Oryctolagus cuniculus: one gene and its partner. The protein of the gene in region 1 interacts with the protein of each later gene in a pairwise test. Links are inferred from orthologs where the notes say so. Each region holds a gene or a part of one and is shown in the gene's direction. Other genes may lie near its edges.

Region 1 (3,803 bases):
AGCCTTCTGGAGGTGTCCCTCTCCCCTTTTTGGAACCGATCTCTAGGCAGTGAGCCTCTGCCTCTGGGAGACAGGGGTGGGCAGGGTCCTGGGATGACAGTGGCTGTGCCAGAGGAGGAAACAGCCCACAGAGAAGAGAGGACGTTGGGCCTCGAGCCCCCTCTGCGCGTGCACAACCACTTCGCTCCTGGAACACCCCACTGCCCGGAGGGTGCAGGACTGCCCAGGGTGGCACTGGAGACGTGTGTGTGTGTGTGTGTGTGTGTGCGCGCGGGCGGGACGGGGGGAGCAGATGGCGAGCCAGGGAGCAGAGAAGAGAGGCGGGGCCAAGTTCAGACTTTTATAACAGCCCTTCAGAGGGTATGCTGTTGGTGAGCATATCCACCTCTCCCGGTGTTTAACATTCTGCCTGAGTTTCCTGCCCAAATTATATTCAAACCAGGCCAGGCATACAGTAAGTGCTTAATAAATGCTGGCTACTCTTTGTTCCTAAGAGTGAGTCTTCTTGAATGTTGAAGAAGCAGAGGTTGAGGAGGAAGGCAGGAATGTAGCAAAGATATTTTATTTTTAAAAAGATTTATTTATTGGGAAAGAGGTACATAGAGGGAGAGACGGAAGTCTTCCATCCGCTGGTTCACTCCCCAGATGGCTGCAATGGCGAATTACCGGGCCAGGCTGAAGCCGGGAGCTTCTCCTGAGTCTCCCACGTGGGTGCAGGGGCCCAAGCACTTGGGCCATCTTGTACTGCTTTCCCAGGCCACAGCAGAGAGCTGGGTGGGACTGGAGCAGGTGCCTGTTTTACCCGCTGTGCCCCAAGCTGAGCGGGAGCTGAGGGACACAGCTGGCAGCTTGACCGGGTTGGCCCCCAGGGGCACTGCGCACGGAGGGGGCGGCCTCCGTGTGGGCAGAGGAGCAGCAGGCTGTGAGGTTGGTCTGTGCAGCTGCTCACTCCGTGCCCGCCCCCGAGCGGCACACACAGCGGAGCCCAAGGCTTGTCTGCTGCGAATCCAGGGAACACTTCGTGTGTCTCTTCTTGCTGGTGCCCTGAGGGCACCTAGACGCTGGTTTTCAGATTTTGACCGTGACCCAGAGGGAGAACCTCATTTCGCATTTCCGCAGTCCTACCCACGCCAGAGGCAGACGGGTGTCGTGGGGCAGTACCCGTCCCGTTCTGTTCCTCCTGCTTCCTCTCTGGTTTCCATCCACTCGGTTGACTTCAGAATTCGCCAGTAGGCTCTGGACCAGGGTTTGATCCGCAGTCTCTGCCTAAGGGGCCTGCTGAGCGTGCAGCTCACCCAGCTGTGCGCCCGGGACGGTGGGGCAGGGGCTCGGAGGGGGCGAGGCCTTGTGGGCAAGGGTGCTTGTCCAGACAGGGACGTGGGTCCTGCTGGGCGGGGGCGGCCGGAGGGGGCCTGCGGATGGCGACCTGCCCGCTGCCCCAGGGCCCAGGCAGGAGGGCGGGCGGCCCGGTGAGAGGTGCCTCTCCCCGCAGACGACTCGGAGGCCGGGGCCAAGCGGCCGCGCACCACCATCACGGCCAAGCAGCTGGAGACGCTGAAGAACGCCTACAAGAACTCCCCGAAGCCCGCGCGGCACGTGCGCGAGCAGCTCTCCTCGGAGACCGGCCTGGACATGCGGGTCGTGCAGGTGAGCGGCCCCGGGGACTTGGACGGGGGCGCGCGGGGCGGCCGTGGGCGCGCCGGGCGGGCACCCACCTGGCTGCTCTCGCTCGCGCGCACGCGCGCACCGCAGGTCTGGTTCCAGAACCGACGGGCCAAGGAGAAGCGGCTGAAGAAAGACGCGGGCCGGCACCGCTGGGGGCAGTTCTACAAGAGCGTCAAGAGGAGCCGGGCAGGCGGCAAGCAGGAGAAGGAGAGCTCTGCGGAGGACTGTGGGGTCAGTGACAGTGAGCTGAGCTTCCGAGGTGAGCAGGGCCGGAGGCTCCAGGCCGAGGCCCCCGGGGTGCGGCAACCCCCAGGTCCTGGCCGCGCCTGCCTGGGCACAGCCCTTGCCCCAGGACTGGCGGCCGAGGCCGGGGTGGGGGTGGTGGGCAGCCCCTAGGAAGAGCCCTGCCCCTGAGCTGTGAAAGTCGGGCTCCCTGCCCCCCCCCCTTTCCTGTCTACTGGGGCCCCCTCACCGGCCCACACGGCTGTAGACCAAGGGCTGCATCCCAGTCTCGGTCCCCAGCCTCGCCACAGGCCCCTTCCCCTGGGGAATCAGCAGTGCCGGTGCATGCCAGATGGGGGCACTGGCTTCACCTGGGACACCCCTTCCCGCCCCACTCGGTCCACGCAGCGCGCCGCACACCTGCTTTGCCGCATGCGCCACGTTCCGATCCGTGCATCCGCGAGATTGCAATGACTGCATGTAATTCCTGAGAATTCCCACTTGCTGGGCCCTCTACGGGGGTGGGGGTGGGGGACCGCCCTGGGGGTGGGGCGGTCAGAAACCTGCTTTCCAGGTGGCTCTGTCGGCTTGATTGGCTTCCCTCAAGCCTCAGCTGCCCTGTGTGTTGAGTGGGGAAGAGTAGCTCTCTGCCCATCTCCGGGTGCTGCGGGCCACCAGCGGGTGCAGCCGACTGTGGGTCCTATGGGCCTTCCCCTTTAGAGGGCGTGAGCCCCGCCCCCATCCAGCTTCAGGAGTGGAATCAGGGGTGGCCTCGGAAAGACCGGGGTGGGTGTTGGTTGAGGTTGAGGAGGTCTGACGTAGGGACCGACGCACAGGCCTGGGTGGAAGCGGGAGGGGCCGTCAGGACAGAGAGGAGGGGGCTGTCCTGGGGGTCAGCTTGCTCTCAGGACACAGGGCCCGCGGACCTGATGCCCTTGCTCCGAAAGCCCCTGGCCTCCTCCGGGCGCCTGCCTCCCCCGGGGGAACGGACGAGAACATTCAGCCGTGTCCAGTGATTCTGGGAGCCGGGCCATATAGAACCCCTTGTTTCCTGGACTCCACCTGCTCTCCTCTGGTGGGGAGAGGAGTTCCTCCAGGTGGCAGACATTCCATATTTGAGCCCCTTAATAGAGTCTTTAAGGAACGAGAAGCCGTGTTTGCTTGGAGGCACTCTTCCGGGTGGACCAGGACTCTGCACACACGGCTACGAGTGGGCTGCCCCGACCACAGCCACCTGCTGTGCCCCACCAAGGCAGACAAGTCCTTGTCTCAGCTGGGAAGTTTTCAGAGTAGCTCCTGGCCGCCCCTGGCTTCCACCTGTGGTGTGTGTCGCTCCTGAGAGTGCACACGTCACCCGGGCCCGGCGTGTCTCCAGCCTCCTGGGCCCCAGGATCTTAGTTCTTGCTGGGGTTCCTCCCGTGGGTCCCCTCGGCCTGGGTTGGTCTCCGGATGCCCGGCCCGCGTGCTGGTGTCTGACCTGCGCTTGGGCGTCTGTCCTGGGCCTGTGCGTTCCTAGGTCGTGAAGGGCAGGGACCGCCGAGTCCTGGCAGTTGACAATAAACCTGCGTTCTTTTGTCCACAGAGGATCAAATTCTCTCAGAACTTGGCCACACCAATAGGATTTATGGCAACGTGGGGGACGTTACAGGCGGACAGTTAATGAATGGGAGCTTCTCCATGGACGGGACCCGGCAGCCCTACCAGGACCTGGGAGATGGGAGCCCCTATGGGGTCCCCCAGTCTCCGTCCTCCATCTCCTCCCTGCCCACCCACGCCCCTTTGCTCCATGGGCTGGATTACACGGTGGACAGTAATCTGGGTGTGGTGGCGCCCGCAGGGCAGGGAGTGAACCACACGCTGAGAGCTATGGCCGGGGGGCCCACCTCCGACATCTCCACGGGGAGCAGTGTAGGCTA
Region 2 (4,353 bases), on another chromosome or scaffold:
GTAGCATTCCAGACAGAAGACAGTTCTGAATGCCCCGCCCTAACATGTATGTTATATTTATAGCCCAGAAAAGGATATGACATACAGAAACAACCTGATGGAAGCCAACAGCATTTGCCTTGTTTGGACATGGTCTGATCAACTGGCTGTGTGATTGCCTGAAATTTGACTGCTATAATTGTGTGAGAATCAGTTTCTTGATTACATAAGTTATAATCAGCTTATGTTACTGGAAACAATTGCTCAGAGGTTCATGTCTTCACGCAAGAATTTCAGATGTGAGACAGAGAGTAGTAGTAAGTGAGGTAGCAAAGTTTAATGAAGAGAACACACGTGACAGACCAGGGCAGCATACCAGCAAAGGACTCAGAGCCCAGACGATATTCAGGTTGTAGTTTTTATGTATAAGGACATGGGTCCTCACCACCACTCCACTTCTCCTTTCCTTCCTCTTCTGAGAAATCGCTGGGTGGAGGGCTATGTGGGTGTGGAATTCCCAAAAATTGCTCCAAGGACCTTAACAGCAGTGTTATCAGACCTAATAGCCCCATTTCCTTTGGCCCCTCTTATATATACATAGGCTAATGTCCACCTAGCTACCTCACACACATCAATTCAGAGTACAAGCTATTTTAGGCCAATCAGTTATGTACAGAGGCTAATCTAGGCCAAATTTAATTCAGTGTAACATTAGAATCTTGTTTTACTTGGTGCTATTTCTGAAACATCCAGTGTACTGTAACAGACCTCCAGAGGCAAAAGTTGCCATAGGACCAACAAAACAGCACAAATCTAAGATTGCAAAGAATGTAATTTATTGGGGGATTTATGGACAGAAGGTGGTCTTGGGCAGCTGAGACAGTGGATCCCTATGCCATGAGTCAGGAAAAGAGGAGTTTTACAGAGAAAGGTGGTTCACAGCCAATTGGAATGCACGTTACACTTTTTCAAGAAACATTAACATTCATAAGAAGGTATCCCAGACATTAGATAAGAGGGACTCTAGGAAACAATAGCAAGTGAGGGCCACAGTTTAATCATGTGACTTTGTGTACCTATCACAGGGCTTGGGGTGACCTCTAAGGTTATTACCTACTGGTCAAGATACACGGTGATTAGACCCAAGATGGCTGAAGCACATCGGGCTGAATGCCTACACTAGCCATTCAGTAAAATCTTGTCAAATCACAGTGTAGGATGCTATCTCAAAGCAACTCAACACTGTCAAGCCCTGCCTAAAACTTTCTTTCCTCCAGCCACATTGTGACTCAAAAAAATATTTGTCCAAATATGTAGCTTCCTCAAGGTCCCCCAGCAGTCAAGCCAGAAACGTGACTCGCACAGGTTGGGCTAAACTCACCATGTTAATACAAACGTCTGCAGGACGTAGCGACAGCCTTCGGCCGAGGAAGCAAACTGCTAACCCTTCTGACTCATGCTAAGGTCGGGGGACAGAGTTTGCAGGGCACCACAGGATCTTCCGGTTATATAAAGCGCCCGGGCGCGGAGCTCATTACGTCAATTACGCACGACGAGGCTCCGCCGTGAAGCCCTGCTCTTCCAATGACCTTCAGGGGCCGCCGAGGCGTCAGCAAACGAAAGGATCCTGCCCGAGCGCTGATTGGTGTAACCCTGGGGTAAGCCCCGCCTCTTACCTTCCGCTCTTCTTCTTCGCCGAAGTACTTGAACTCTTGCCAGAGTTTCGTCCTTGGAGACGCCGGGGTAGCTTGGCCGTGAAGATGCCGCGTGGAAGCCGCAGCCGTACCTCCCGCATGGCCCCTCCGGCCAGGTGAGGCTGTTTGGGGACCTGGGGGTGGCGGTCGAAGCACGGATCTCTGAATCCTGTCGGCCCCGGGGCGCCGAGGTGGGGGAAGGGGGGGCGCAGAGAGCCCGCCTCGGCCGGACCGAGGTGGATTGTGTTCACACTGTGTGCTGGGAGCGTGGGGGAAGGGACAGAGCTCATGCCAAGGCCGGGAGGCGCATTTCATAAAGCCGTGGCCAGCTGCCACTTGCTAGGAAGCCAGGTCACAGCCTCCGGACGTAGCCTCGATTCGGAGGAGGGCGCCCTAGGAATAGTCCACAGGCGGGCGCAGAAAGCGGGGTGCATTGGCAGTGTCCAAGCAGTGGGGGCGGGGTGGGGACGCCCGCTTCCGGTCTCCGGGGGACTCGGGCTCCTCACGCCCCCTGCCTGCTGACGCGGACGTGGTGGACCCGGGTGCTGCCACCCACGTGGAAGACCTGAATTGAATTCTTGGTTCCGGGCTTCGGTCTCGACCCAGCCCCGGGAGTCGCCGGCGTCGGAGAGTCCGCAAGAGGGATGGGAGCTGTCTTTGCCCTTCCAGCTGTTTTTTTGTTTTTGTTTTTGTTTTTCAAAAGCAGTGCTGGACATAACCAGTGGAAGTTCTAGACGTACTGCAGATGGGGAGTACGGTAGCTCCACACTTACCTCACTAGGCTCCGGTTTTGGGATCTCTGAAGTGAAAGACCTGAACTAGATTGTTTACCCAGGTGTCCATTGTTAGCTTTTTTTTTTTTTTTTTTTTTAAGATTTATTTATTGGAAAGTCAGAGTTACACCGAGAGAGAAGGAAAGGCGGGAAGGGGGGGTGTCTTCCATCCGCTGGCTCACTCCCCGATTGGCCACTACAGCCGGAGCTGCGCCCATCCGAAGCCAGGAGCTTCCTCTGGGAGCAGGGGCCCAAGGACTTGGGCCATCTTCTACTGCTTTTCCAGGCCAGAGAGCTGGATAGGAAGTGGAGCAGCCGGGACTTGAACCGGCGCCCATATAGGATGCCAGCACTGCAGGCGGTGGCTTTACCTACTTGCCATAGTGCCAGCCCCCCCGAGCTAGATTCTTTACCCAGGTGTCCATCGTTAGGTCTTAATTCAAATGTTACCAGCTTAGTGGGAGCTTCCTTGATTTTCCTAAAATTGCAATATCCCTCTTCATACTCCTGCTCTTGAAAGTTCTTTAACGTTTAATGTACGACATTTTTACTATTTGATCTCCGTGTATAAGGTCCGTAAAAGCGCAGATTTTCGTCTCTTGTTAAGTTCTGTTCTCGTCATGCATAGTAGTTGCCTGTGTGTGTGTGTGTGTGTTTTATTTATTTGAAAGGCAGTGCCTCCAGGTCACTCACTGGGTGTGAGGACCCAAGCACTTGGGCCATCTTCTGCTTTCCCAGGCTCATGAGCAGGGAGCTAGGTCCCAAGGGGAGCGGCCAGGTCTTGAACTGGAGCCCATGTGGGATGCAGGCCTCACTGTGGAGGCTTAACCTGCACAACACTGGCCCCTCTAACTCTTAATATTCTATGTTCTGTATTAATATTCTGTATTTCTTAATGAAGAATTGGAATAACTGTGTTCCTGAAAAAATACAATGGGTTATGTGAGCATATGGAAATTATTGCAAAACAGCAGGAAAAAAATACACTTGGTAATTACCACTGTAACAAAAAATTAGATGAAATTGTGTTTGTATATGTATATAGTAAGCATCTGGGATTAAGAATTTAAAATGAAAATCTTGAGATTTATTCTGATACAAAGGTGTGTGTTTTTTATCGTGTTGTTCTGGTTTTTGTAATTTCCAAAGCTCAGTAGAAACGGAAGCTTAATGTATTTATGTTCTTTCAAGCCGGGCTCCTCAGATGAGAGCCGCCCCGAGGCCAGCACCAGTAGCTCAGCCGCCAGCAGCAGCCCCACCATCTGCAGTGGGCTCGCCCGCCGCGGCACCCCGACAGCCAGGCCTGATGGCCCAGATGGCCACCACTGCAGCTGGCGTGGCCGTGGGCTCTGCTGTTGGGCACACGCTGGGCCACGCCATCACTGGGGGCTTCAGTGGAGGAAACAGTGCTGAGCCCTCGCGGCCCGACATCACTTACCAGGTAAGATTTGGGGCAGCATTTTCCTCCCGTGGGAATATCTGTGAGAAAATCTAGTTTTTATGTTCTTTGGGTGTAGAACTATCTTTAGTTTTAGAGTCTACAATGCTGTTAATAGAAAGTGGGTTCTCAAAAGCCACATCGGGCAGTTCAGTTAGTGCTTCAACAGCACCAACGAATCGTACTGTACAAATTGTGTTTCTTCCCAAGGAGTCGAATTGTGACAGTCCAGCCTGACTCACTGCAGAACAACCGTTTTTCCCTTTAATGTGATTTTATCTTGGCAGTGCTTACTGATCCAGTCTCAATCTTAGTTAAGACATCAAAAATCTCTTCAGTTGCTCTGTGTGGTCTCCTGTGATAGTTGCCATTTCCCCTCTTTCTGAGATGTGTAGCCTTTCTCTTCTAACGAGCACAAGTCTGTATTCTGTACTTGTGGTGTACAGGAAACCATCTATCCGTCTTTCTA

The links.
Region 2: the proteins of LHX4 (region 1) and CHCHD2 interact in binary tests that used the Homo sapiens proteins (3 or more experiments, as listed by UniProt). The two-hybrid records come from large-scale screens. The link is inferred for Oryctolagus cuniculus from reciprocal best matches to the Homo sapiens genes LHX4 and CHCHD2.

Annotation. Positions count from the first base shown.
Region 1 is NC_091438.1:8,382,805-8,386,607, forward strand, and holds part of LHX4 (LIM/homeobox protein Lhx4), read left to right. Parts: intron 1-1,492; coding exon 1,493-1,647; intron 1,648-1,752; coding exon 1,753-1,924; intron 1,925-3,469; coding exon 3,470-3,803. UniProt on the Homo sapiens protein: May play a critical role in the development of respiratory control mechanisms and in the normal growth and maturation of the lung. Binds preferentially to methylated DNA.
Region 2 is NC_091450.1:65,935,696-65,940,048, reverse strand, and holds the start of CHCHD2 (coiled-coil-helix-coiled-coil-helix domain-containing protein 2), read left to right. Parts: upstream 1-1,520; 5' UTR 1,521-1,739; coding exon 1,740-1,789; intron 1,790-3,637; coding exon 3,638-3,887; intron 3,888-4,353. UniProt on the Homo sapiens protein: Transcription factor. Binds to the oxygen responsive element of COX4I2 and activates its transcription under hypoxia conditions (4% oxygen), as well as normoxia conditions (20% oxygen).